Linked DNA regions of Rhinolophus ferrumequinum. The protein of the gene in region 2 purifies or fractionates together with the protein of the main gene of each other region. This does not show direct contact. Links are inferred from orthologs where the notes say so. Each region holds a gene or a part of one and is shown on either strand. Other genes may lie near its edges.

Region 1 (6,922 bases), on a different chromosome or scaffold from region 2:
TTGAGTACCTAAGGAGAACAGACACCAAAAAGCTGAAACACTATGTGAGTCACTGCAGAAATGATTGAAAGGAACACTGTAGAAATGATCACCATTGAGCATAATGGCTCATCAGGAGCGGCTGCTTGATTGAAACTTAAAGGATGAGTAAGATAAATTTAGGTCCATGGGGAGGAAATTTATGTCCATGGCAGGGCATTGCAGAAAACAGTGTGAACAAAATCATAAAGTAAAAATAATAGCAAGTCAGGTTCAAGGAACACACCGGAGGATAAAATCCCAAGTCACCAGGTTGGTTAGCAGACTGCTGCCTTACTCCTCTGATTGCACAGCCAGAGGGAGTTGTCTCTCCCTCTCTTCCATTTACCCTCTCCTAGTCTGGTCAGGCAAGTCTTATCAGTGTCCCTTGAATAAGCCATGCTTTTATGTTGCCGTCATGTCCCAGATAGATAGTCCGTAAGCCTAGGAAAAACCAGTGACATTGACCACAATGGGAAAGCAAGAGATGGGATGGTTTCAGGAAAAGGTAGGAAGAAGGAACTCTTTTTGGCAAGTGAAGTTTGACATGACAATGGAATTTTCAAATGGGGATCCATTATACATTTATTCCACAAATATCAGATGCCCACTGTGCCAGGCATGGTAGAAACAGCAAAAGAAGACAGTTTATCATCTAGCAGGAATAATAGATAGTAAACATGTACTATTAAATATGAAAGTAAAATGTAGCATATTTTGGATAAGTAAGATTTAAATATCTAGATTTGACAACTATATATACGATCATAAATGAAGCCAATCAACAAGCACTGCACAGGGTGTTGTGAAGAAACAAAAATTGAATAAGACACCATCCAATGAGGAGCTTACAATCCAGCTGGAGAGATGAGACTGACACACATGAGACTGACACACACACGTGGCCAATGGACTATATGGCATGAGTGGTACCAATGGCAGTGTCATGTCCATGGAGGGCACTAGTGTGATTTGGGGCCACTCCACTGCTACCCCAGGAATCTGATTGTCTGACCCTCTGCCAGAGTCTCGCCTGCCCTCCATCGTCCCATCCCCACCTCATTCCCTCCTGGACCTGCTGGGTGCACAGATTGGCCAAGTCCAGCAGACATGCCCAGGCTATGGGTACAAAGAAAGCTGTAAAAGCCAATATCTGGACATTTTAAATGCTACACTAGGAGACTGTTCTAGCTCCCCTAGACTCATAAGGCAGATATTCCTAAACCCTAGGAAGGGGGTTTAGAACTTGGGAGGTGAAAAAGAATGGCAAACATCTACCACAGAAAGTATTTTTAATTGTCAGGACTGCTAGGAACATCATATAAGATCCCAACTGCTTGGTTAAAAAATATGAAAATCCAGAGATGACTGAAAATGACATTATTAGGGACCTATGAACTATTTAATGTGCAAAAAATAGGTGCAGAGAGCATCACTAGCGGGAGAAACTCAGATCACAGACTTATAGAGATGAAGGGCTTCAGAGGCCACCTGGGCCACTCTTCTAACCACTGCAGGAACCACCTCTCAACCAGATGAGGGAAGACACCAGGAGGTGTCAGCATGGTTTGTAGGGTGACAACACAAACACCGTCCGCATCTATAAGGAAGAAGCTCACCTCTTCCATTTTGCCATGTATACAAATGGCGCCACTTTGATTCTTCTCTACGTCGATGAGTTATCACTTTCAGTTGATTGGCCCGTTACAGGCATCCCTTCGATTTGTCCCTCTCCATCTCATCCTTGTGCCTGGACTCCCAAAATTGCCTCCTAGATGACCTTCTAGCCCTCCATTTGTCTTTTCAAATTGTCCCCCACATCAGTTTAAGATTAATTTTCTTAAAACTGTTTTCACCAAGTTATTCACTTGCCCAGATGACCATAATGACTCCCAAACTGCCACTGAATGAAATGTGAACTCATTTGAGGACACAAGCCATATTAGATCCACTAACTCATAGATCCTCTACATTCACTGATCATTAACAATGAAGAAATCCAGTCCAACGTCTTCTCACTAGTTTCAATCACTTGAATTCTATGATTCTACATGAGCTAAACCCTTATTTCTAACAATTCTCTCACGAATCTTATCTTTTCTGTAGCTAGGCATGCCACATTGAGACAAGGAATTCTAGAAAGTGCCAGCTTTCCCAGGAGTGTAGGAGTTTACATCTCTAGAGCTTCTAAACTTCCACAGGCTGTTGCCTCATTCTCTGCTTTATACTCTTCCCTCACTACTCATTACTTTCTTATACACAACCTCTCCTCACCCCTGTGAAAGAGAACACACCTCTTTTTACTTTGTTATGCCGTCTGCCCTTCTTACACACTCCGATTCCTTCTTTTCACTCCATAATGATTTACCCTTTCTAAATCTAACAATTTGCTTCATTGATATTATTCTTGATCTTAAAAAAAAAAACACACACCACAAGATAGTTCAACCAATGTCTATGCCATTGCCAAGACTAAGGTATAGGCAGAGGAGAAAGGGAGATGAAAAAAGAAAGGAAGAATAAAAAGTAGTAGGAGGAAGAAGTTGGGAAAGGGAAATAATGATAATTGCTGTCATTAGCAAGTGTTTAAAGTGTGCCAGGTACTTTCTATACATCCACAGAACCACCTGGCAACGTAGGTATTTCTATCCTCATGTTTAAAATGATGAAATGGAGAGTTAAATGACTCACCTGAGGCTAGTAAGGGTCAGAGACCAGATTGCATCCCAGGTGAATTAAGACCATCCTCTTGCAACTACAGCATAGTATCTCCATACCAGAGTAAGAAAAGAACATAAAGCGGAGACAGGTAAGATCTTACCAACAATTGCTTCAAGTGCCACTGAAAAATAACAGCACCATTACCGTGTTTCCCCGAAAATAAGACCTAGCCGGGGAATCAGCTCTAATGCGTCTTCTGGGGCAAAAATTAATATAAGACCCGGTCTTACATTACATTACATTATATAAGACCCAGTCTTACATTATAGCAAAATAAGACCGGGTCTTATATTAATTTTTGCCCCAGAAGACGCATTAGAGCTGATTCCCCGGCTAGGTCTTATTTTCGGGGAAACACGGTAGTTACCAACAATTATCTAGAAATAGCCATTAAGCTTTTAGCGTGACAAAGTTTAAGGTTTTCTCTTATATGCAAACTCCTTTATTATAGACACACACTGGCATACACACTCACACATGCACATCCTCAGCTAAAAAGCTTGTATTACAATTTACATGCTCCTGATCTTTACACTTGTGTCTGGATTATATCCGTTCCTTTTTAGTTTTGACCCATGCTAACATTTTAAGATTCTCTTTATTTCTCCCCTTTCTCCATAATTCATGTTTCTCCTCCCTTTCCTTACATCATTTTTATATCAGCTCTTCCTTTTATCTTTTATTCTCATCTCCCTCATTACCTACACATTTCTGTTACTTTAAGAGTGTGTTCACCTAGCAGGTAGATATCTATTTTGAGTTCTATACTTTCCTCACGTCTGCCCCCCCATCCTTTGTCTTTCAGTCTTCCTCGTCATTCCTCCTTCCCTACATCCAATTCCCACCCTGGTCCCTCTCAATCGCCCACATCCCTCTCATTAGCCCCTCCCCCTACTTCTTCACAAGCCCCAATGATCCTCCCATCCATCTCGCACCCCTTTTCCCGCCTTTTCCCCCCAAGGTTCCAAAGCGCGAGGACCTCATTGTCCTCCCCCATTCTCCATCCAGCCCACAGGACAGCCCTGTTACCATGACGACAGAGCTACTCAAAGCTGAAGTCAAGGACCTGGTTGCCATGGCTTTCGCTTTTCCGCCTCCATCCCCGCCCGCGCGCCCCGCAGCGTTGGCGCCTGCGCAGTGCTCATGTGAAGGGGCGGAACGGGGCGGAGCTTCAAGCCAGAGGGGCGGGAAGAAGGAAAAAGGATAAGAAAGGGAGTGGAGCTGGCACCTACGGTGGCCGGAGAGGGACGCGCCAAGCCGGAGGGTGCAGGATGGTAGGCTGTGCGAAAAGGGAGGGGAGGGGGAACCGAGGGGCGTGGGCTGCACCTGCGGGGGTCCTTGGGGGCCGCCGTTTGTGGGAGCCGCTCTTTCTTCCTCTGTTCCTCAGAGGCCCTCACTTTCCTGGGCGGGTGGGACAGCCGGCCTCGGAAAGGAGCAGCTGGAAATGGCTTTAGGGAGAAGGGGCGGGAAGAAGGCATATTAGTGGGACGAGAGGGGCTGATTTAGCGGTGGCTGGACCATCCCGAACCAGGGGGAGCGCACGGGTCGCGATCCAAGGCGTCTCGGCCACTGCCGCAGGGAAGTCGCCCGAGGAATAGGGGCACGAGGGCCTGTTGGCAGCGGGGGAGCGCGGGTCACACTCTGTCCCCGTGCGGTCCTGAAAGGAGTGGCGCCCGGTGGGGTTAGCCTTGTGTGGGAGGGCATAGTTTCCAGGTCCGAGGAGTGGACGTCCTGCCTCTGTTTATCCTCCGGCTCGCCTAGAGCCTGGGTGAGGTGGGGAAGCTAAGTGGGCTCGAGGTCTTGCTCGTGGGGACCCAGGCTTTGGAATCCCGACTCCGTGCTCTTTGCTCTCTGCCCCCACCCCATTCTCTTTCCGGAACCCCGGCCTTCCGTCTTCCTGCCCGCCCCTGCCCCCATCTTAGACGCGCACGGCTCTGTTGGGCCCCTCTGTTGCCTTCCCACTATGCCAGCAACGCTTCCCCTCCCTCAACACCAAAAAAACCTTGACTTCTGATCTTTAGCCCACTAAATTAGTACTGTTCCACACACCCAGGGATTCCGGCCCTGGTAATATCCGTGGAGAGGAGAACTGCAGGGAGAAGGCGATAACTCCGGGATGTGGCCTGGACCCCCTGGAACTGAGTAGCTGGGGACACACAGGGTATCGAGGGCTCTGCACCCTTCCCCGCTCTACCCAGCTTGGGCTTTGTTCCACAGACATTCCCTAGGAGAGCCGCCTTGGATTGCTGTCCTAACTGAGGAACTGAAAGGGAAATTGGTCACCTGGTATGGGGGGGGGGGGCAGTGAGCACGCAGGGAGAAGCACCATAAAAAGAAGAGAGGAGTATCAATGGCCAAATGTCTGAATGGCGAGGAGAGAGAAGGGTGGAATTTGGGGATCCCAGTGTCATGTGCTTATCTGAAGGGTACTCCTTGGCATAGGACTGCATGGGAGGGCAGCGTGACTAGCATGGAGTGGACAATTGAAGTAGCTTCTCCAGGGACAAAAATACCCGATTTTAGCATGGTGGTGGATAGAAGGGGCATGGAAGAAAGCAGACATCTCTTTGGCATCACTTATGGGCTACTTGTTTCTGTGCTAGGCACTTTACCTACTTGGGAAAAACGGTTAGGAAGCAGGAGATCAGAGAATAATAGTAGTGCTGCCTAATGTGTTACAGTGCTTACCATGCCCCAGGCACTATGCATATGTCATCTCATTGAATCCATCCTAACAGCTCTGTAAGGTAGGTAGTTATTATCTCCATCTTCACACAAGGAAACAGGTTCATCGACAAAGTAATTGTCCAAGGCAAATTATTTAACTAGTAGAGCCAGGATTTGAACCCAAATGGCAGACTCAGAAGCTCTGACACCACGCCCCCCACCAGAAGGAAAGGCACCAGCTGGTGGGAATACCCAGAGTTGGGAGCAATGGCTGATTTTTTAAAGAAAGTAGAAGCTGTGAGTGAAGAGTTAGATAGGATGAGGTTGGGGCTGTGTGTTTTTGAAAGCAAGAAACTCAGAGAACCAAATCTCTGCCTCTCCCCCCATACACACCAGATGCGATTCATGCTGCTGTTCAGCCGGCAGGGAAAGCTGAGGCTGCAAAAATGGTACCTGGCCACGTCAGACAAAGAGAGAAAGAAGATGGTTCGTGAGCTTATGCAGGTTGTTCTGGCTCGCAAGCCTAAGATGTGCAGCTTCCTGGAGTGGAGGGACCTCAAAGTCGTCTATAAGAGGTGACTCCCACCTACTTTCAGAGCTGCCTGGATCCTGCTTGATTGGGTCTGGCAATGGATTTAAATGGCTGATTAGTAAGTGGCCCCTAGGTCAGGGAGAACTGGGAGCGAAGGACATCTGGAGGGCAGTGATGAACTCCAGCTTCCTTTCCTTTTCACACTCACCTTGAAGAAAGTCCTGTTCCTTGGTTTTGCTCAAGTCTGACACCTACCACATACCTCCGTCCCAAAGTCCCTACATGTCTCTTGCTGTCTCATTCAACAGTCATAAATCCTGCGCCACTTTTATTTTTTTAAGATTTTTATTAAAATACAGCTAATGTACCTCATAGAAATTCAACAGTACCCACCTGGCACTATACAGAGTTATTACCACATTACTGATTATATTCCCTATGCTAAAGTGATCATAAGTCAGCCACCATCTGACACTGTACCACGCTATCACAATATCACTGACTATATTCCCTATGCTGTATATTACATCCCCAAGACTTGTTTGTTTTATACCTGGAACTTTAAACCTCTTATTCCCTTTTATCTTTTCCCCCCGTTTTTAAATTTTCAGTTACAGTTACATTCAATGTTATTTTATATTACATTTCAGGTATATAGCATCGTGGTTAGACATATAATTTACAAAGTGATCCCCCTGACTAGTACACTATACATAGTTATTACCATATTACCGACTCTATTCCCTATGCTTTGCTTTACATCCCCATAACTATTTCATAACTACCAGTTTGTATTTCTTAATCTCTTCAACTTTTTTACCCTGTCCCTAACCCTCTCCCATTTATCACCCCGATAGATCTAGTCCCCATCTGACACCATACATAGGTATTACAATGTTATTGACTACATTCCTTATGCTGGACCCTACATCCCCATAACTACTGTGTAACAACCAATTTGTACTTCTTAATCCCTTCCCCTTT
Region 2 (7,824 bases):
CAAGCAAGCAATAACAACCCACTGTGAACAGTGCCACATCAAAGAAGAGCATCTAGTTCAGGCCTGCAGGGTAGGGGGTATTGATCAGATGGGAGGCACCAACAAGTGGTCCAGCAAAGGAGGATGGTCACAGGAAATGGTGTTCAGGCAGTGGGAACAGCAGAAAGCAAAGCCACAGAGGTATAAAGAGTTGGAGCTTTGCAGAAAAGCAGCTGAATTTGATTGGAGCCTGGGAGGAGGTGGAAGCGTGGAGTAGGAGCCAGGCAGGGGTCATGGCCCAAAAGGCCTTGGATGCAATGCTAAGGAATGTGAGTTTAGCCTGAGGGAAAAGAGGAACCACTCGTGGATATGCAAGCAGGATTTTTTAAAAAGGATCCCCCAAGTGCTCGAGTGACATTTTCTCTCTGGAGCTATTTGTTCCTCTGTGCGTGAAGAGAAAACGAATACAAAAACCATTTCTGGGTTGTGATAATTTATCCGTGACCTATCTTAGCTAAAAAGACCTGTTGAGAAAAAGAAACATCTTCAAATAACAGAGGCCCCCTCGGCTTACAGAATCACACCAAAGAGCAAAACCCATACCCAAGCCATGTTTGCACACTGTCAGCACCTCTGGCTTTGGGGCTGGGCGGTGGGGTTTTCTGGGAAGTGAGCAATTAAGACTTGCAACAGTTTCAGAGGATGACTAGAAAAAGATGTAAGTCCAAGCCCAAAGCCAGCAGGACTAACAGACTGCACTTGTTCTGAAAACTTTTAGGAAGTGAAACCAGAAGGATAGAAGTCCTGTGTATATAAAGATCTCTGTTTGCAGAAGTAAGTAACACCCCACAAACCAGAGTGACAGCCTTCCCCAGGCACAGGCCCCCAGCAGGCATCAACTGCCTCGGGTTAAGGCACCCACTACAATAACAGGCTCTGTACAAGTTTCCTCATCTCACCCCAATACCCACCAGTGCTGGGGGCAGGGGAAGGAAAGTGGCGGCCAGGATTATTTTAGAGCTGAGGTAAGGGAGGCCCAGCCTCAATCAATTGCCCAGGGCAAACTACCAGGAATCTGCTGAGCTGGGGATGGGACCCAGGGTTCCCTGATGGGGACATGGGAGTGCGTTTTCCATTATACACGAGCCCTCTGCTCAACCCACACTCAGCAGAGCGTCCCTACATAACCTCGGAGGGGTCCGAGTCTTTGAGAACCAGTGAAGCTGCTCTTCACGAGTTTCTAAGAGATCAGGGGAGCCTGGTGGGCTCAACTCGGGACAGGGAGTCAGATGCTCTGAGCTCTGCTCATGTTCCTACATCTGTGACAAGTCCCTTCATCTCAAATCCTCTCTTGGAAGGAGAGGGATAAGGTGACAATATTAAGTTTCTGTGAATTCTGTGCAACTAGGAGAACGGATCATAAAGTTAAAAAAAAAAGGTATTACAGTAGTATTTACAGCCCAGCTTTCTTCAGCGGCATGTGGAAACCTTCACGGGTTCATTAAGTCTTGGAACTCGCAGGAGTGGGTAGGAAGGCAGCAGGTTTTTCTCATGCTACCGTCAGGGAAAGTGAGACAGAAGCGGAGCAAGTAAGTGTCTGTACAGGACGAAGGCGCAGCCTCACAGAGCCCAGTTCTCAGCCCACCAAACCACCTCCCGGTATCCCAGGCCACACGTGCTTTCCCCAGCCAAAAAGTTATGGGGCCGGCACTTTTCTGAGGGACACAGACCCTTCTTTTGAGAATGTTGTTCAAGAACTAGGGCCAAAAGATCCCCTCGGGGTCATGTAGCTCGTCTCTTTATTCCAAAAGGAGTGCAGCTCAACCCCTCTCAAGGAGAGTTTCTGAATCGTCTTAAATTAGAGTCATGGATTTTTTGTTTTGTGTCTCATGGTTCCCAAGAGTCAGGAAAAACTTCCACTGGCCCTGAAAGGTTATCACAGCAATAGTCTGAAGGGCTGTTTCGTCCTCAAGAAGGTGAATCAAAGGCCCCTTAAGAATGTTAGATGAGAAGCAATAAGGCGACATCTTTACGTAGGTGCCAAGAAATATAATGATAATTAAAGATATTAAATAACCCCTATACCCCGACCTTGATGCAGCGTCTTTTTGCTCTGCACTTTGTGGGGCCCTGAAAACCTGAGTAGGAACCCTGGCTCTGCCTGTACTACCCGATTGACCTTACCACGTGTGATTTAACCTCTCTGGGTCTCAGTTTACTCACTGATAAAATGGGGATAACAACACTTGCTACCGCACAAGTCGTTGTGAAGTTTATGTGCTGCCTTGCAAGTAGAGGACTTAGCACAGCGCCTGACGCACAGCAGGGGCTCAATAACCAGTAGCGAGCTTTTGCCTCCGTATTCTTAGTCTTATTACAGATGCCCTCAGTTAACCTGTCCATGAGACACCGACACACAGACCAAACCCAAGGCCACCACGGAGCAGGCGGCTGTTTCTTGATTTCTTTTTTTTTTCCCCCTTTTCGAACCTTGGCAAAGAGATAAGGACCTGAACGACGAGGAGGCCTCAGGATGGCCAGAGGGGTGAGTACAAAGGAGGATACGAGGACCCGAAGGGGAGTTTCCCTTCTGGCCCGGCGCAGGCTCCTCGGGGCCTAAGTCTAGAAGTCTCTCTGGGAGGACACCTCAGGAGGGGCTGCGGACCTGAGGAGGCTGGAGTGCAGGCCCGCGGCCAGGGAGGCGCGAATGAATGAACCCGCAGTCCTTCAGGCTCGTCCGAGCCTGGGAAGCCACTCTACGCCCCTCGCGCGCGCCCCGTCACCTCCGTGACCTATGACCCCGTACACCCCTCACCTCAGACCCCCGACTCCCCGCCCACTTCTTCTCCAACCTCGCCGGACTCCCCGCTTCCTCACCCGCAGGTGCGAACGGCTCTTGGCAAAACAGCGCGGCTCGGCTGGGCAGCAAAATGTCCGCGGCCTCGTCCTCCCGCTCTCCCGGTGCGTCCCTGCCGCCAGCTGCTCCGAGCCCCGCGGCTGTCACCTGCCCAGCGGAAGTGAGCTGCTCGCGCGCGGGCACTTCCGGTGGACGCACAGCCTGGGGGCGGGGTCAAAGGTGTCACCCTAGCGGGAGGTGGTGTCCGCGGGGCGGGGCCAGAAGGGGGCGGAACCGTTCGGAATTAACCCCTTCTTAGCCGCGGCAGGGCTTCGCCAATGTCTCCTGTAGAGCGCTGAGAAAAATTAGCCCCCTAACCGCTCAGTAATTTAACGTGGATGGAAAAAAGGGTAGAGACTTTGAGGTCCATCTCTTCCTTCTGTGTTGCAGAGGGGAAAACTGAGGCTCTGAGAGGGGCAGGGTTTTGCTCAAGATCACTCACCTCATGAATGGACGAGTCAAAACTAGAGCTACAAGTCTAGTCTAGCGCTTGTTCCCCTTCAGTGCAGCCCTTTGGAAATTCTGCATTGTAGGGGGAAAATACTAGACCCTCCAAGGAACTTTTATCCAAAGAGAACTTCATAATGTCCCATTTCCCCTTTTTTTTTTTTTTTTTTAAGATTTCATTAGGACTGAAAGGACAACAACTTTACTTGGAAAACAGGCCTGGAAGTACACACTGTTCCCCAATAAAGTCCTGTTCCCCTTCAGTCTTAGTTGTGTCGGGCACAGCTCCGCTCCAGGTCCAGTTGCCATTGCTAGTTGCAGGGGGCACAGCCCACCATCTCGACTCGAGGAATTGAACTGGCAACCTTGTGGTTGAGAGGATGCACTCCAACCAACTGAGCCATCCGGGAGCTCAGCGGCAGCTCAGCTCAAGGTGCCGTGTTCAATCTTAGTTGCAGGGACTTGCGGGACTTGAGGAATTGAACTGGCAACCTTGTGGTTGAGAGCCCACTGGCCCATGTGGGAACCGAACTGGCAGCCTTAGGAGTTAGGAGCATGGAGCTCTAACCGCCTGAGCCACCGGGCCGGCCCCCCCATTTCCCTTTTGCTGGCTCTGCCAGGACTTTGATTCCCATAGCCACTTCACTACCCACTTGTTCTATTAACTTTCTCCTCCTTATAGTTTTTTTCTTTTTTTTCCCTTTCTTTCTCTTTCCTTTTTCTTTCTTTCGTTTTAGGAACAAAGAATTTAGTAGTCAGGGCTAAAGCAATTAACCCAGAAAATATTTTAAGTAAATGTTTTTTGGGTTTGTTATTTACATCTTAATTCCAGGAAGATAAACTGCTATTAATAGAATGAGAGCATCACATTTTAACATTTTAATTACACCATTATGGGCATAAAAGACTTTAATTAGCAAAAAGGCCTTATTAAACACAAGTACACATCTCTAACTTTGTCTTCTAAAATATTTTATTATTTTTATTTTTTCTTACATACTTTTTACTTTTATTTTTCAATTAGCGTTGACATTCAATATTATTTTGTATTAGTTTCAGGTGTACAGCATAGTGGTAAGACATTTATATAATTTACAAAGTGATCCCCGCAATTGGTCTAGTACCCATCTAGCACTATTACATAGTTATTGCGATATTATTCACTATATTCCCTCCACTGTACTTAACATCCCTGTGACTATATTGTAATGCCCCACTCAGGTTCAAGCCGTTGTTTCTCAGTCTAATTGTGTAGGACACAGCTCCCTGGCCCGTGCTGGTATTATTGGCCCTACCCTTGCTAAACCTACAGTTTGTCCAGGGAGAGTAACAGAGCTGCAGACACAAATGTGATAGGGGATACACTGGGGCTATGGGAATCCAGAGCAGGAACTAAAGTTCCCCCAGGGTTGAAAGGACCAGGGGAGGTCTGGACAATTGGAGGGCATTTAATCTGAATTTGCAAAACAACAATGAATGTTTATGTGCCCGTAGTCGGTAGGCAGAGGGTCTCATTTGCTCCTCACATCAGCCCCATTTTATCTGGGTAGGGACAAACTGCAACTCCAAAAGCTTAAGTCAGTGTTTGAGTGGCAGAGCTGAGGGACTGGTCCCAGAGCCCCAGAATACGTGCTTCATAAGTCCTACTCACTCGCCTAAAATATATTTGTCACTCTTATCTGAGCCAGCCATTTTGGGGATACAACAGTGAACACGAAGTGGTACAACCTCTCCTTGGGACTACTGTTAAGTGTGGGAGAGAGGCAAATAAAAGGACAATTATAACACAGCTCAGAAGGACCAGGGACGTATAGGAGACTTGGGCACCAAACTCAATCTGGGAAACTCAGGGATGGCTTCCTGGAGGAGGTGACATCCAGCCTGAACTGTGAAGGATGATATTACTACTACTAATAATTGCCATGAACCAGGCACTGTACTAGGCTCTTCTACATATTAACTCATTGAACTCTCCTAACAATTTGATTCCACAACTGTCCCCAAGTAAAGATGAGAAAACTTAGGACAGTGGGCAAAGCCAATTTCTCCGCCACTTCCCTGTGGGCCTGGGCCTCCTCTCCCATAGCTCAGTTTGTCAGGAGAGCTAAAAATATAATACTAATAAGAGACACAGCTCAATGCCAAAGGCTAGATAATTACAGCCTGCAGAGGTGGAAGACAGAAGTGGGGAAGAGAGGCTTCTCGGGGGCTTCCCTCTTCATCTCCACCACTGAATCCAGCTGGCCACCTACTCGAATCACACTCACTATCAAACACTCAGAGCTGTGTCTAGAACTAGAACAGTCACATCTAGGGCACGTGTAGTCCACACAGGCCCTCTGAGACCCCGGGCCCAGGAGGAGCCCCTTGCTCCAGGATGGGTGGAGCAGAGCCAGTGACGGTCAAGCCCACTTGGAGAGAGAAACAACCTCTCCCGACAAATACACCATTACTAACAATAACATCCCCTCCTATCTGGAGGAGGAAGTTTTAAAACTTTTCTCCAAACCCTATTCATTTCTTCCCTTCCCTATTGAGTTGGCTGACGTTGGACAGGTTTGTCAACCTCTTTGGACCTTAGTTTCTCCTTTCGGAGAACTCTGAACCCCTCCTGGGACAAGTACCACTGTATGTTCTTGACATCTATCACCATTCTCAAGTGGTGGGCACTATGATAACCCCCACTTTACATTGAGGCCCTGAGAAGCTGAGGAACTCTCCCAACTTCACGAGGGAACAGTGGGTCCATGCTTTCCCCCTTGCCCCATGCTTACCTGCTTCATGACGTTTCATCCAATCAGGGGAAGGTTGGAAGTACTTGTGATGTCATGAAATGACGCAGGACCTGCTGCTGGGCTTCAGCTACTGCGAGCTTCAGCAAGTCCCTTTCTCTTTCTGACACACAGAATCTCAGAGCCCATCCTTCTAACTCTATCGCCACACTGATGCATAATACTAAGTACTGTATGTTGAATTAAGTATTCTTTCCATCTTTGCCCACTAGAGGGCCCACAGGTGACATTAATTGCCACCCTTCCCTTCCGGTGAAATTTTCCCACAGGCAGCTCACAGAATGACTTTCTATGTACTGACCTGCTTTCTAGATTCTTCTTCTTATGTGATTTCTATTCCTCTCCTTCATTTTCTGCTTGCTTGCTGTTTTTATCCTACAAATTTCTAAAAGTTGCCTCAGATCCTTTCTGGAAGGAGGCAGGAGGTGACTTTGTCCACAGCCTCACTAACAGGGCCAGCCCCCCACCTGCTGAGGGTGGACAGCTCCAAATCCTTCCCAACCAGGGCAGGCCTGGCACAGCCCCCATGGCAGAGGGGTCTAGAGGCTGCCCGGGACCTCTCCTCTGCCCCCATTTCTCCCTGCTGCAAACGCTCGCATTCCCCCATCCCTGTTCTTCCCAGGAGCAAAATTCTGCTCACCCTCTCCTGGCTCCATTGCCACCATAGGCCATTTCTCAAAGGGTCTGCTGTCCCCTCTCAATTGCCCCTGAGAGGACTGAACCACCCTTTGCTGGTGCTATTGAAAAAGCCCAGCCTCTGAACCCCGCCTGGGTTCAAATTCCCAGCCGTGGGACCTCACTTTCCAATTTGGAAAATGGGGCTGATTGGGTGTCCATGCAAAGTTGTTAAAGAGATTAAATTGTAGAACTTACAGTGCCTGGCAACCTATAAACAGCCCCTTCCTCAATGGGAGCTTCTATTTGTATTAGTATTAGTTCAACTCAGCCACTTCCTGGCTATGTACCTGGGAACACATAACTTAGCTTCTTTGAGCCTCAGCTTCCCCAACTAGAAAATGGGACTAGTCCCCTTACACAGATGTCAAGAGAATTACAGTGGATATTGTAGGTAATGTTCTTAGAGCCATGCCCAGCAAGCACTAAATAAGCAGTAGTGACTGTGATTATTAAAGGCCATGCATTAGGGCACAAAGAAAATGTCAATAGACTCCAGTATAGAAGAATTGGAATTAATACATCATTCTTTGATGACACTCTAAAACACTAAAAATAATAAAACCAGCAAACCAACTACACCTGGCAAATAAAACACTCTCTTCTAAATAATCCCTGAAACTTCTATGCATGTAACTATGCTCCCTTCTGAAATCCCACCAAAACAATAGTAAGGGAATTTTAGAATTTTGATAAAGTGTATATAACATAAAACTTACCATTGTAACCATTTTAAAAAAAAACTTTTATTTATTTAAGTGTTTTTCCAGGACCCATCAATTCCAAGTCAAGCAGTTGTTTCAGTCTAGTTGTGGAGGGCACAGCTCACAGTGGCCCATGTGGGGATCGAACTGGCAATCTTGCTAGAGCACCACGCTCTAACCAACCAGCTGCCCCACCATTTTAACCTTTTGTTTTTTTAAATTTTATTGGGGAATACTGGGGGACAGTGTGTTTCTCCAGGGCCCATCAGCTCCAAGTCGTTGTCCTTCAATCTAGTTGTGGAGGGCGCAGCTCAGCTCCAAGTCCAGTCGC
Region 3 (7,829 bases), on a different chromosome or scaffold from region 2:
TAAGTGCAACAGTATGAATGAATAAAAAATAAATAAATAAGCTTTATGCCCAGTGAAAAAGGCCAGACACCTTTGTGTGAAGTTCTAGAACAGGAATAACTAATTACTTTATGATACCAGAACATGATTAGCGGTTGCCTTTGCAGGAGGTAGTGACAGGCAGGGCCACGGGGTGGCTTCTAGGGGACTGGAAACAATATTGTGGTTACACAGATGGGTTCAGTTTGTGAGTTACTTGACTTTCTTATATGCTACATTTTAAAAATGGAAAATTTTAAAATAATTTAAGAAAGAAGGAAGTGGCTCTGCAGGTTATAACAAGAATTGATGTTTGTAGGGAGCTTATTCAGCATTAGGGGAGGAATTAAGTGCTTTATATTAAATCTTTATATCCATTTTCCAGTTGGGGAAAGGGACACAGAGAGGTTAGGCAACTTATTAAGTGCTTTTCATTAAATGCTTGCAACCATTTTCTAGCTGCGGAAAATGGCACAAGGAGGTTAATTTACCCACAGTCACAGTTGGTCGGCGTGGGGCTATACATGTCTTAGAGCCTGACTTCACAACCCACACGTGGTCCCTCAAGCACAACCCTGACAGTGTAGCCCAGCTGGGCTTCTAGGTCCTACTGGTGAGTAAAAATAGCAAGTGGTGTTTAGTGTTTAGTCATGTATGGTGAGAGAAAGAGAGAGAGAGAGAGAGAGAGAGAGAGAGAGAGAGAGAGAGAGAGAGAGAGAGAACATCACACACACAGGCGCGCACACACACACACACCTTCATGAAACTAAAGAGAAAAAGATCCGAACACTCCAGTGGTTGTTAGAGGGAGCAGGATGGAGTGGGGCCAGCAAAGGGGACAAGATTTTCTGATCTGTGTTCTCTCTCTCCCTTTTTTAATCGCAGGGACTATTTATTTGTTTCTCGGGTAATTAAAACCCTATTTCAAAAAAAATAGATTTAAACAAGCCAGTCACAAAAGGACAAATACTGTATGAATCCACTTACAGGAGGTTCCTAGAGGAGTCAAATCCATAGAGACAGGAGGAAGAGGATGGTGGTGCGCGGGGTTTGGGGAGGGGAGGGGAGTGAGTGTTTAATGGACAGAGTTTCAGTGTGGGAAGATGAGAAAATTCTGGAGATGGATGGTGGGCACGGTTACACAACAATGGCAATGTACTTAATGCCACAAAACTGTACATTTAAAATGAATAAAATGGTATGTTATGTATATTTTACCACAATAAAAGTTTTTAAAAAATAGATTTTAAAAAATAAGACGTAACACAGGTGACAGGGGACAGTTGGGAAAGCCCAGAGGAGGGATCTGACCTAGACGTAGCATGGGAGCTCAGAGAGGGTTTCCTGAAGCAGACACCTGAGAGCTGAGTGAGAATGAGGTACAGAAAGCAAAAAGGGGCAGGTATGCACTGAGCGGTCAGGTGCCAGAGGAAAGACAGAAGGACAGAGAGGAACTGACATTAGGGAAGTCAGTGTGTCTTGGGTCAGTGGGTTCAAGTGGTGCCTCATGGGAGAGGTCAGCAGGGGTCTAACTGTGCCAGGCAGGGCAGCTCTGAGCAATGGGGAGCCATAGTGGATGAGAGAGTGAGGGTGGGTGGTAAGAGCGGTGAGTTTCAGAGCGATTCCTTTAGTGGTGTAGAGAAGGGATTGAATGGGGTGCCTAGAAGCGGGAAGCCTGAGGGGAGGCTGGGCAGCCTATAGGCACAGAGGAGGAACTGGGGCAAGGCCACAGGCCCTTGGGACAGGGGAAGCTGCAGCTGAGGCGGGGCAGCTGCTTACACAGAGAAGCTCTGTTCTCTGACCCCACTGAAGCTTTTGGGCTCATAAATTTTTCAGCCAAACAGGTCTTGAGTTTCAGATTCCAGGGCGCCTGGCCCCAGCTTTTGCGTCCTATTTACTGCCTGAAAACATCCCAGGGCCCCAGGAGAAGGGCCCTTGTGAGGTTCCGTGATGCCAGGGCTGGGGCTGGCAACATGTGAAACCCCCGAGTCACCTTCTGAGCTTGGGACTGGTAGGATCATGGAGGACATCCCTCTTTTGGGCAGAGCCAGCATAAAACCTTGGGGTTTGCTGGGCTAGAATTCCAGCTCTGCCACTGCTAGCAGGTGACTTTGTATAAGTCGCTCACTCACTGAGCCTCAGTTTTTCTCTGTCAAATGATGATAATAGGTTTCCCTAATTCTAAGTGTTGTTTCTTGGAGGGGTTCCTGTATGGGAGACTGTGAGGGCAGCACCTGGGTAGAGTGAACCCCACAGAGGCCTGATCTATTGCTGGTCATAGTAATACTTGTACCCCACGATGCAGCAGAGCAGTTGGATGAAGGCTGGGACGCTGCTTATGAAGACTCAGATTCAAATTCTGACTCTGCTTCCAGGCTGTGTGGCCTTAAGCAAGTGGCTTCACCTCTCCCTGCCCCCGCTTCTTCTGATGTAAGAAGACCAGGTCTTCCTCTCAGGTCCTGAATTATCAGGAAAACCATAGTTGGGAAGACCAGAGTCAAAGACAGCAAAAAATAACAAACTTAAAAGAAAAAAAAAAAAAGACATGAAGAAGTACTGGAAGATAAGTGCCCAACGAATGTGCAGGACTGCCGTGGTTATTGTGTTATTGTCAACGACAGATGCCAGCGGTGGGGGAATGGGGAGCTCTGAGAGCCGCAGCTCTCTCTCTTCCTTCCCTCAAGTCCCCTGCAGGGATGCCCACTCCACCCCGCAGGGGCTGAGGAAGGTTTGGGGCTGGCTTTGGGGAAGGAGGAATGAGGCCTGGGAGAGCTGAGTGTCCTCCCCTGCAGGCCTGCAGGACGCTCTGTGAAGCAGGATTTGTCCCAGCCAGGCTGAGATTGAATTTCCCTTTTCTCTCCTCCCCCAAACTTCCCTGCAGACCACATCCCACAGTCATGGAGTGGAACCGGGGTCCACAGTAGTTGATGTGCAGGGAGAAGAGGCACTGTGCCAGGCATGAGTTATGCCCAGAAACTCAGTGAGCATAGCCTGTGGCAGCAACACCATGGCTGCTATGCCCATTCAACAGAAGGGAAGACTGAGGCACAAGCGGTGCAATCACTAACCCAATACTCCACAGTCAACAGTAGAGTCAGGATTCAAACCCAGCACCTGTGCTCTTAACTGCCATATAGTAAATACTAATAATTATAGCAAATAATAACAACATTATTAAGTGTCAGCTACATCCCAGGCATTGCCCCAAACATCATGTTGCATGTAAGAACTCATGCAATCTACATTATAACTTAATTAAGAACGTGCAGTTACCAGTTGTATTTCACAGATGTGCAAACTCAGATCCAGGGAGAGGAGGCCAGGTGCCTGAGGCCACCCAGCTGGTCCATTGCATACCCAGGACTTGAGCCCAAGCAGCTATAACAAGCGCTCAACAAGCATATATAAACAATATATAAACAACAACAAAAACAATATTGGTACCGGCTTTGTGCCAGGCTCTGCACTGGGAATCTTTCTCTTGGGTTGTCCCGATTCATTAGGTTGTAATGGAAATTTTTCAAATGCTAGCCCTTTCTCTGATCTCCCTGCCCACAGCCCCTTATTCATTCTCCAATGCGCACTCTCAAACCCTGCTGACAGTTCAGTTGCCTCATCATTCCCGTCCTCCCTCCTCTCCAGGGATCATCTTATTTTGGGGTTTTTATTTTTATATTTTATTTTTTAAAAGATTTTATTGGGGAAGGGGAACAGGACTTTATTGGGGAACAGTGTGTACTTCCAGGACTTTTCCCAAGTCAAGTTGTTGTCCTTTCAGTCTTAGTTGTGGAGGGCGCAGCTCAGCTCCAGGTCCAGTTGCCCTTGTTAGTTGCAGGGGGCGCTGCCCACCATCCCTTGTGGCAGTCGAGGAGTCGAACTGACAACCTTGTGGTTGAGAGCCCACTGGCCCATGTGGGAATCGAACCGGCAGCCTTCGGAGATAGGAGCTCGGAGCTCCCACCGCCTGAGCCACCGGGCCGGCCCAGGGTTTTTATGTTGTGTGTCTGTTGCCCTTCCTAGAATGAGAGCAGTGGAGTGGCTTTGTCTATGTCGCCATCCCTAGCACACAGAAGGTGCTCAATAAATACTCACTGAGTGAATCATCAACAGTATCATCACCATAATGAAAGAAGCTTCTATATGCTCAGTGCAGCACACAGTAGGTGCTCAATAAATGTTTGTTAAATGAATAATATTATCGTCATAATAGTAATAACCATTTATCTCTTCAACATTCTATCAACATCTTAACGTCACACAGTAGGAGCTTATAAATATTTTTGGAATGAATAAGAGTAACATTAGGATAATAATAAAAGCAGCTACATTTATCCTACTTGGAGTGCAACCCACAGTTCCTTTCACTGAGTGAAAGAATGTACTAGTGAGTAAATATCTGAGTGAAAGAATAATTCATAAATTTTTATTGTATGAATGAGTGAAAGAATGAATGATTTGGACAAATATTATTGAGCGCCCAGTGCTGGGCATTGGAGACACAGACGTGAACAGGACAAAGTCCCAGTCCTATTGGGGCTGACATGCGTGTAGGAAAGTCAGAGGAGGAATAAGATAAATGGATGGATGGGTGAAGGATGGACGCATGGATGAATGGATGGATGGACGCACGATGGATGCATGGATGCATGGATGGACGGTCTAGGGTTTCCACCCATCAGCACTCCTGGGTGTGATGGGAAAGTGAGGCAGGGCAGCGGTCCCTTCTGAAGCCCTGCCCCTTCCAGCCCCCGCATTCTTCTTGTACGCCGACAGCGCCGCTCACCTGGCGGCCTCCCCTTTAAGACTCACCTGTGCGCGCTCACCTGCGCGCGGGCGCTTCCGCAGGAAGAAGGAAGCAGCGCCGCAGTCGTCTCCTGACCTCCCTCCCCTCCTCCTAGATCTGCTCGCTGCCTCCATGTCTGCCTCGGCTGTCTTCATCCTCGACGTCAAGGGCAAGGTGAGGCTGGGTGCAGGGGTGGGGCGCAGGTGGGGGAAGCACAGGTGAGGCTGCGCTCCCCCGGACCCAGGGTCGGCTCCTCCGAGCAGGCAGGGAGGCCCCAGAAAGCCCTGGGGCTTGCGAACACTTCCTCCACCAATCCCGGGGAGTCCCCGGTACAATCCCATCTCCGCTGTTTACTAGCCGCGTACGTGAGGCAAGGGGCTTTGCCTCTCTAAGTCTCAGTCTCCCTATCCTTGGAAATGGGAATAACAGAGGTTCCCACCCCATAACAGTTAATACAACTGCGTGTAAACCACTTAGCACAGTAGTCTTGCTGCAAATATCAGACTTTCAAAGACAGAAATCGTTATTTCTATCACCATCATCATCCACAGTATTAATATTTGGGGAAAACAGCAGGAGCTGGGAGACCCTAATTCCCCTTTGGGGTTGCCTTGTCCCTTTCTGAGCACCCTCTCATTCATCTTGTCATTCAATAGCAATAATAACAGTGGTGGTGAAAATAACATTCCTGATAATAATAATAGTAAGAGCTAAGGTATTTGAGGACCTGCCGTGTACCCTCCCTGTTCTAAACACAGGACTAAACAACCTTACCAAGTAGATGCTATTATTATTGACTGCTTACTGCCTGCCAGACACATCTGTATGAGCTGAAAGAGAGATATGGGCGTACTTTTTTTTCTTTTCTTTCTGTTTGGCACAGTCTTTTTCTTTTACTTTTTTCTTTCTGTAATCTTTCTTTTTCTTTCTATAATCTCTCCTTCCTTTCATCTTTTTTTATCCCAACCTCACCAGTTTGGTGCATATGAAGTCCTGGGCAAGAGCAGGAGTTCTGGAGCCCGGGCACCCTGGTCCATCTCCCAGTTTCCCAGTTACTATGGACATGGTTCTTACTTCAGTTTCCCCATGTGTACATGTCTACCTTACAGGGTGTGGTGAGAACTTGATCAGCAAGCAAACATCCAGTCTTTAGTAGAACAGGACCTGGACCTCAGTGAGGGCTCTAGACACATTAGCTATGGTTATCATATACCCATTTCACAGAGAAGGAAACTGAGATGCAGAGAGGCAGAGCCTTGCTCAGGCCCCTCGACCAGGAAGTAAGGTCAGAACCAGGCACTCTGATGTCCCTGGGTGGAGGGTCCTGGGATCCCAGTGGTGACTGGACCTTCTCTGCCCACCCTTAGCCCCTGATCAGCCGCAACTACAAGGGCGATGTGGCCATGAGTGAGATAGAGCACTTCATGCCTCTGCTCATGCAGCGGGAGGAGGAGGGCGCCTTGGCCCCGCTGCTGAGCCATGGTCGGGTCCACTTCCTGTGGATCAAACACAGCAACCTCTACTGTATCCGGCTACAAGTGGGATCCGTGGGGGCTCAGGGTGTTGGCAGCTTAGACCCAGAGAGGGTAGGCTGAGGACAGCAGTTGCATCGCACATCGGTGGAAGCTCAGGCAAGAGTGGGGTGGAAATAGGCAGAGATGGGGGAGCTGATGGGGGTAGGGTGGGGGGTTCAGGATCTGTGTTCCATTTGATCCCTTTCCCAAATGGCACCTTTTTCTTAACCTCGCTGCCCACAGTGGTGGCCACCACGTTGAAGAACGCCAATGCCTCACTCGTGTACTCCTTCCTCTACAAGACAGTGGAGGTAGGTCCTGGCCTCCCATTGGCCTGCTGGTCTGTGTGTCCACCTGTCTTGCCTGCCTCTTTCAGGATCCATCTCTCATAAGAAGCTTTGCCTGACCTCCCTGGGGGTGCCCCCATCAAAGCCCCATCACTCTGTGTTCTCACTAGCTGCTATGGGATCATCTCTCTCTATAGGGCAGGGATCTAGGGGGTCATTGAGAGGGTGTCAGTGCTCATATATGAGTCAGAGGGAACTGGGTTCCAATCCCAGCTCCCTCCACTGCCTGGCTGTGTGACCTTGAGCAAGTCACTTCTCTCTATGCCTCTAAACTGGGGGTTACAACAAGTCCTGCCACAGTGTTGTACAAATTGATCAAATTCATACCTCTAATATGCCTAAAACAGTGCTCAGTATACAATAAGTGCTCAATAAAGGTTTGGTGTTGTTAGCTTTATCACTAATGTTATAAAATCATATAATGATTTATTGAGTGCTTACTATGTGCCATTCTCAATGACTGAGAAAATGCTTAGTCAATACTTTTTAACAAGAAATATCTATTGGTTTGTCTTTTCTCTGTCAGACAAAGAGCAGACACAGCTATGCATTTCCCTGTGTCCTGAGGAGACATAAAGGAGATCAAACAGGAGAATATTAAATCAGTGACCGGGATGTTAATGTCACCATAGCCTGACACTCATGGGAGGGGGCCTCACTGAGGAGGTGGTATTTGAGCTGGTTGACAAGCAGCCCTCTGTGAGGCAAGCTGGGGGAAGAGTGTCCCAGGCAGACAGAATGGCTTATGCAAAGGCCCTGGGGTAGGAATAGAAAGGTCAGTGAGATTGAAGCAGAATAAGGATTGGAGGGTGGTTCAAATCTTGGTGATTGACAGGTTTCTGCTATGGTTATGCCTACTAATTCCCAGGGGCTCCTAACTTGGGGTTCCCAAACCTCCACGGGCCTGTAGTTCATGAACTTAGTCATATTTATGTATAACAGATTTCCTTTGCCATTCTATTTTATTTTATGCATTTACAAATCTTATTCTGAGGTGGGTCTGTGAATGTCACCAGATGTCAGATATGCAGGGATCCATGGCCCGCAAAAAAACAACCGTAGTTCTGAGTCCTTCCATTTCCTCTTCTGGGAAGTTTTCCTGGAACTCCCCACCTCTGAGCTCCTACTTTCCTTGTGTTTTCCTCATTATTGTACCCAACATGTTGG
Region 4 (6,964 bases), on a different chromosome or scaffold from region 2:
GTGGGAGCTATCTTGTACATTGCAACACCATCACCAACACCCTCCTCCTCCCCATTGTGACAACCAAAGTATCTCCAGACACTGCCAAGTGTCCGCTGCAGGGGCGGGGGCGGGGGGGGGGGGGGGGGGGGGGGGGAGGGGGGAGAGAAGGAATTGGGGGGGAGGCAAAATTGCCCACGCTGAGAATCATTGTTCTTACCTAATATCAAAAGGGAAGAGTCATTTTCCTGCATTTTATTGAAATCTATGGAAACAGGCTTCAAGAAAGAGCATATGTTACACATTTCTCTTTAGCTCATTGTTGAGAACTTTGGCAGTGACAGCTCTATTTGAGATGCTTTGGTTAACAAATCTTCATTATTTTAGGCCACTTTTCTCTTAGAAACAACTTTATCGTTGAAGATGTAAATTCACAAGCTCTAAGCATCTTTTTTACACTTATTGTGATCACTGATTCAGCACTAAATTTCATTACAAGGCATTTTTACTTAGCAATCAATTTCTAAGGAATACAGTATAGATTAAAGGAACTCTGCATGAGTTTACAATATAGTGTTAGCACTAACAGAAAGGTTTTTATCTACTACAACATTTTGAAAATACCTAAGTAAAACCCGCACTAAAGTAAAATATAATAATAACCTTTATTAAATCCTACGAAGATTCTGTCCCTGGAAAAAGAGTCATTGCTTCTGGAATTTACTTCCTGGTACCTAAGAACACAACAATAATTCTATTTCTTGATTTATGTTAGATGTTATGTTTTCTTACTGTCAGTGTGTGAGAAATTAGCAATATTTCAACATCCCCTACTTCTGTTCCTCAATATTCCCAATATAAACACATTATAATTTTTACTTAAATTGTCAGTGTTTAATAATGAGCCTACAGTGTACCCTGACATGGTTGTTGACATTCTCATGCTAATGTCCCCTGTCTCATTGTCCATGTGAATAGATACTTCAAACTTTCCTCTTTTTTTTTAATTTAAAAAAAAATTAAAAAAGGGAGAGGAGATAAAAAAAGCATATGGCCGTCCACATTTAACAGGAAACTAAAACTATTTTTGAAAACTTTTAAAAGATTACATAAAAAGTCTCAAAACTTTATAGTTAGAAGGTAGACGCCCTATTTCACACTCACTTCTTGCATTTAGCATAAATGAAAGCTAGGTACTTTTTTTTTTTAAGAAACAAGTGATATTAACTAAACTTATTGTGGTGATCATTTTGCAATACATATAAATATCAAATCATTATGTTGTACACCTGAAACTAATACAATATTACATGCCAATTATATCTCAATTAAAAAAAATAAATAAAAGGTAGGTTACCAGAAACGCTTCAATTCTTCCCCTTCTGTACAGGGGGACAGGGTTATCTTTCCTACTTAAGGATAAATCTGTTCTTTTCTCTTCTGACTTTGCTGAATTTTCCTTTATCTACATGGGCCATTGAAATTGGGAAACATCAGGCAGCCTTGAATCAAGAAACTACATGTTCTTGTTCCATGAAAAATGGTTTTGTAATAAATGTCTCCTGTACCCCCCAAAAAACCTAAAATCTGATTTTTAATTTTTCATGGAAAATATTTTTGTGCCATCATTAACAACCAAGAATTCAGGACCACCCAGATAACAAAAGCAGAAGATTTAAAAAGATACCTTCTTCACATGATAGGCGAATAAGAAACTAGGTGAGAAAAACATGCATTAACAAAGCCCACAATTTAAAAACTGTGGGAATGAAAGTCAAGCAGTTAACTACTAACAAAGATAGTAACAGAGCTTCTTTTGTCTTTCATGGCGAATGCATAATTAGCACTTAATACTAAGACTGGGGAATAAACCATCTATAATCTACTAAAAAAAGACCATCTGCTTCTATAAATTTTGTTCTTATACACTTGCCAAAAGAAGAGAACACATTAACAATGGGCTCTGCACTGTTAATTGCTAGGTTGTTTGCATTTGTGCCGTTGCTATTAGAATTTAATAAGCCATTCCTTCTGCTAAATTAATAAGCAGCCAAGATTATGTAATAGCTGCGTTCAGTCGCTAATTATTTTTCCCATAATTCCTTTCCCTTCCTACCTCCAACACCCACCTTTTCTTGCCTTAGGAACACGAGACTGCCGATATCAGCAGCAAGTCTTCCGTCCTCATATTCAGAAGAGACCAACATTAGGAGCATGACCAATGAGTTTAAACTTGGAGGTGGTTACATCAGGAAGCTCGAGAATATATGTTTTATACAGACAAAGAGAAAAGCAGCATTTGGATTCAGAGGGCGAGTTTTCATGGCATGACATCTGTTTTGTGTAGTAAGGGAGAAATGAAACATTAATATGTGCCTTTGGGGCAGATTGGTCAGGGAGCAGAGAAAAATTTGGGCAGGGAGGCTAAAGACCTACAGAAAGTCAGCTGTGCTTTGGGTGGACTACCTCCAATATTCCAGTATAGATTAGTCATACATGTTAGTAGGAAATTTTCCAAGCAACATAGTATGCTTAAAAGAGGAGGTATAATACATTTTTTATTTTGCCAAATAAGGGCACTAAAAAATGTCCCCAAATCCGTGTTATGTACTACCTTAGTTTTATAGACATTTTAACACGCAAAAAGAACATCATCCCTAATAAAGGATTCCTTTAAATTGATTACATTTAGTTTCATGAAAAACTTAGCATTTCTTTTTCACTTTGAGTCATTAAAAAATTCTGGCGACTATGTTTCGAAACCTCCGCAAAAAGGACGTAACTCAACAAAAGCAATTTTCCAGCTTCCTTTTTAAGAACCTTGGTGACGGGTAATGAATAGCTTTCGACTTGAGAAACCCGTGTCTGTTCAAGCAAGGTCACTTAATCCCGTGGGGCTCCTCTTTCCTCATCTGTAAAAGATAGAGTCGGACTAGACGATTCACCCTTTCTTTCATTCAAAAAAATACGGACATCCATTAGGTGCTAGGAACAATGCTCAGTACCACGGCTCTTAACAAATCTATCATTTTATAGTCCTTTATCGGTCAACTCAAATTTATTAGTTGTGCTATATACCAGGCAGTGAACAAGGCTGGAATGGAAAAATGAATACAATTCAAGATGCGCTAAACAGAGGTTAATGGGCATGTGGGTGAAAGAGATTCGTTCTTACAGAGTTTGAGGGTGAGGCTTCATAGGAGATTGACATTTGAGAGGAAGGGCATGCCAGGCAGAGTAGGTCGTCAGCAAGGCTAAACTGGAACCCCGGCGGCTGTGTGTGTGTGGGGGGTTCTCCGTATGAAGGAAGCGGGATTTCGAAGAGGAGGTGCTGTCTGGGCTTTTCAGCAGAGAATGGACATCAGGTCCTCAGCACTGAGGATGGGCGAGGTAAGCCCTGGGTAGAGACACTTGTACAGCTTGGGGTGAAACGTGTCTAGGGATGTAGCAGTAGAAGGGAAGAAGGGGCCGGATTCCCGACAGTTTTGAGCCAGAATAACTGCAAAAGGCCCGAGCTCCAAGGCAGAGCTGACTTGTTTTCCCCAGAGTTGCAGCACTCCTCTCCATTCACCGTAATCAGCAACTGTCACGCCTCCCTGTCCCACCCTCTTGGGGCATGGAGAGTTATCCGAACTCGAAACTTGGCTCTTCGCAGTCCAAACCTTCCCTACCCCACACAGCGGGGTCGACAAAAAGCACCGGAGGGTCGACAAAGGGCGCCGGCCGAACGCTGTCTTCCCGCCGCCCAAACAGCCAGGGAAGCCCACCGCGCGTCTCAAAGGCACACCCAAAAGTGCGCAGGCGCGCCGGCACCCCGCAGCCGCTTCCGGGTCACGTGGCCTGGCTTCCGGTCCAGACCACCCCTCTTGGTAGAGACGCGGCCAATCGGCTTCCTCGGGCTGCGCGGTCAGCTGTGCTGCCTTCAGGGCCGTTGGTGACAGCCGAGCTTCTTCCCGCGCGTCTCCCAGCCCGCCCCTCCGCTCGCTGCAGCCCCGGCTCCTCCCTCGTCCGGCCCCCGGGGCGGGGTCTGTCGGCCTGCCCTCCCCTCGCCGCCTAAGCCTTCCCTTCGCTAACCGGGTCCCCTCCCCACAAGCAACACGGCTTCTCTTCCACAGCTCAGCGACAGGGGCTTCCCCTCAGCCTCAGCCTCGGCCGTTGCCGCCGCCGGCCGAGCCTCGCCGCATCCGCGGCCTGCGGCCGCCGTAAGTCCCAAAAGGCGAACAGGAGCGCCGGGGACGGGGAGTGGGGTGGGAGGGTTGGGCGCGCCCCCAGCCGCCCCGCGAGCGCCCCAACGACCCCACCCCGCGCCCGCCTGGTCCGCCACTGGGGCGCGGCGCCGGGCAACTCACTTTTCTCGGCGTCCGCGCCCCAGGATGAAGGGGCCAGTCACGGACGCTGCGGTGGCCCCGCGGCACCTGTGGTTCCGGAATCCCCTCAAGTTTTGCGGGGCATTTTCGGGAGGGGCCGGGGGCGGGGGCGGGCGAGGACCCTTGGCGCTCGCTGCGCGGCGGCGGATGCCATTGTCTGCTCCGCTCCTTTCCTGTCACCTCGCCTGGGCTCGGTCAGTGATGGAGTGCGGCCCCGTGGGGCGGTGGGGAGGCACTGGAGACGGCCGGTCCGAGGAACGCTGGCCCCGAGCCCGCTCCGTGGCTGAACCCATTGTTTTTAATACCAATCTCGAGGAATTGAGGTGGCCTGTGATTTGCGGCAAAATCAAAGCATTAGTTTTTAACAAGAGGGAATGAATACTTGTGCCTTGCAACCGAATATCGTCCCATATTAGCACATCATTTATTTTGAAGAGTGAATTATTTATTTGTCCTATAAAGTGGTAGGGAGAGGGATACAGGACCCTGCTACAGACAGCCTTGAAGCCGATATTCCTTTCGAAAGCAAACCCCCACCCCTCCTGGTCACCGAGATCCTGGAATACGGGTCTATTTTCCAACTTCTGATAACGGGTTTGCATTAAACGTTGTCCAGTTGATGCTTTACTTGCCGTCCCCTTCGAATGCCGCTGTCTTAACAGGACTTGTATGGGAGGCACTTTGATATCACGAATATTGTTCGTTAATTTTGTGGCAGTGAAGCGTTTTAAGTGAGGTGTAATAAGACAATTTTAACTTTAATAAAGTTAAATTGCCGCATCATAAATTTCTAAATGTCTTGCTGATGCCTGTTTGGATTAATGCAAAAAGCGGCAATAATTTCTTAGCGAGATGTAGGGCCCATTTTATTCTAAATTGGTTGTGTAAATTCTTCCACCCCCATGTTCAAATTCAAGATGGTGTGGTGAATATTAAGAATCATGCTGGATTCTTATTTTCAGTAACACTATTAAAGGAACTTACAATAGTTCAAAGAAAAAAAATACCTGTCTGGATTCTACTTTTAAATTACCTCTGTAGAAACAATGCTTATCTGTTTGCGGTTGAGAAGACCAGTTGAATTACAAGCTTTTCTTAAAGATTAAACATGTAGATTAATCAACAGATTTTATATACAAAATAATTTTAAATGTAAAATACACTAGAATTCAGCATCCATTCCATCTGTAAATGCTATGTGTTTTTTTTAAAATGAAATATTTCGTGTAATGTCTCTGAATGTGTGTAACTCTTATTTTGGCTTTTTAAAGGTTTATATTCTCTTTCATAATATTACATTGCCACTTCTTTATGATGTGCATATTTATGTTGGAATTTTTAAAAAGATGAGAAGAGATACTTAAAAATTAGGCTTTTATTGAGAAAAATGTGCGTTTATGGGATGTTTTTTCTTGGTTAATATTTTAGGTCTTGTTTTGCTTAAAACATGTTAGCATAAACCGAAGAGAGCATTCCAAGTGATAGTAGTCTGTCTACACATAATTCATCCTGGAACTAGAACAGCCTCAGGGTAAATCTCCTGTTTCTTTCAAATGCACCTAAACCAGTTGAGGTCAACAATTCTCTTTTGATGCACATGGAGAGTGTGGAATATAATATAGCACAGGTAGACAATAGTTTCTTAAATTGCAAGTTAATCTTTTTCCTCAAAATTTTCACTCCAAGTTAATGCCTGTGTTTCTTATGTTCTACTGACTCCAAACTTAGGTGGAACAGGGTGGAGTGGGGAGATTTGCATTTGGTGGGAAGATCTTTGTACAAGAATTTCTTGCTACTTTAACTGGCTTAGAAATGTTGATGACTACTAATCATTTGTCAGTTAAACACCCTGCCCTCCCAAAGCTTCTCTATGAAACATGTTATCTTAATCTTAACTTTATTGTATCAAAGTATTGCATGTAATTTTGTTTCTATTTATCTTAACAGATGCAGTTTATGTTGCTTTTTAGTCGTCAGGGAAAGCTTCGACTGCAGAAGTGGTATGTCCCACTATCAGACAAAGAGAAGAAAAAGATCACAAGAGAACTTGTTCAAACCGTTTTAGCTCGGAAACCTAAAATGTGCAGCTTTCTTGAGTGGCGAGATCTGAAGATTGTTTACAAGAGGTATGATTTTTATTTCTCAGAAAGGTGAAATAGCAGAATCAAATGTGTTTGGTCATTTGTAATGTGGAAATTGCAGGCTTTTGAGAGATGACATTTATAAATAAGGATTAAGAAAGATTTAGATGAAAACGGTTTCAAGTTAAAGCTTTGTATTTTTAAAATAACTGTTTTGATTGATTACCCAGGCTAAAATGATAAAATCACAGAAGTAGTTTTAAAACTAATTATATAATTAAAGCATAAATGATTATTCATGCTTAATCATCTTTTTAGAAAAATTCAATGAATTCACTCCTTTGCAAGGGAAAATAGGATCAGTATTTTAAATTGTGTGAGTAATTCTCTAAATTTAGACAAGCATTCACCCCCCTTTCCTTTTCCCCCAAAATCTATAAAGTAATGGCTGCTAATTGACATGCCTTTTATCTGACTTTTAGAATCTTACTTATAAACACCTTGGATACATAGACCATTTCAGTCATATAGATGTTT

Evidence for each region.
Region 1: the proteins of AP1B1 (region 2) and AP1S1 fractionate together in Homo sapiens (co-fractionation; 6 studies listed by BioGRID and IntAct, with this or other methods). This does not show direct contact. The link is inferred for Rhinolophus ferrumequinum from reciprocal best matches to the Homo sapiens genes AP1B1 and AP1S1.
Region 3: the proteins of AP1B1 (region 2) and AP1M2 purify together in Homo sapiens (affinity purification with mass spectrometry; 3 studies listed by BioGRID and IntAct, counting the BioPlex papers as one, with this or other methods). This does not show direct contact. The link is inferred for Rhinolophus ferrumequinum from reciprocal best matches to the Homo sapiens genes AP1B1 and AP1M2.
Region 4: the proteins of AP1B1 (region 2) and AP1S2 purify together in Homo sapiens (affinity purification with mass spectrometry; 5 studies listed by BioGRID and IntAct, counting the BioPlex papers as one, with this or other methods). This does not show direct contact. The link is inferred for Rhinolophus ferrumequinum from reciprocal best matches to the Homo sapiens genes AP1B1 and AP1S2.

Annotation. Positions count from the first base shown.
Region 1 is NC_046290.1:91,232,445-91,239,366, forward strand, and holds the start of AP1S1 (AP-1 complex subunit sigma-1A), read left to right. Parts: upstream 1-3,906; 5' UTR 3,907-4,010; coding exon 4,011-4,013; intron 4,014-5,802; coding exon 5,803-5,981; intron 5,982-6,922. UniProt on the Homo sapiens protein: Subunit of clathrin-associated adaptor protein complex 1 that plays a role in protein sorting in the late-Golgi/trans-Golgi network (TGN) and/or endosomes.
Region 2 is NC_046308.1:18,833,318-18,841,141, forward strand, and holds the start of AP1B1 (AP-1 complex subunit beta-1), read right to left. Parts: upstream 3,014-7,824; 5' UTR 2,857-3,013; intron 1-2,856. UniProt on the Homo sapiens protein: Subunit of clathrin-associated adaptor protein complex 1 that plays a role in protein sorting in the late-Golgi/trans-Golgi network (TGN) and/or endosomes.
Region 3 is NC_046301.1:39,729,052-39,736,880, forward strand, and holds the start of AP1M2 (AP-1 complex subunit mu-2), read left to right. Parts: upstream 1-4,817; 5' UTR 4,818-4,933; coding exon 4,934-4,975; intron 4,976-6,168; coding exon 6,169-6,325; intron 6,326-6,558; coding exon 6,559-6,626; intron 6,627-7,829. UniProt on the Homo sapiens protein: Subunit of clathrin-associated adaptor protein complex 1 that plays a role in protein sorting in the trans-Golgi network (TGN) and endosomes.
Region 4 is NC_046284.1:114,702,756-114,709,719, forward strand, and holds the start of AP1S2 (AP-1 complex subunit sigma-2), read left to right. Parts: upstream 1-3,949; 5' UTR 3,950-4,181; intron 4,182-6,293; coding exon 6,294-6,472; intron 6,473-6,964. UniProt on the Homo sapiens protein: Subunit of clathrin-associated adaptor protein complex 1 that plays a role in protein sorting in the late-Golgi/trans-Golgi network (TGN) and/or endosomes.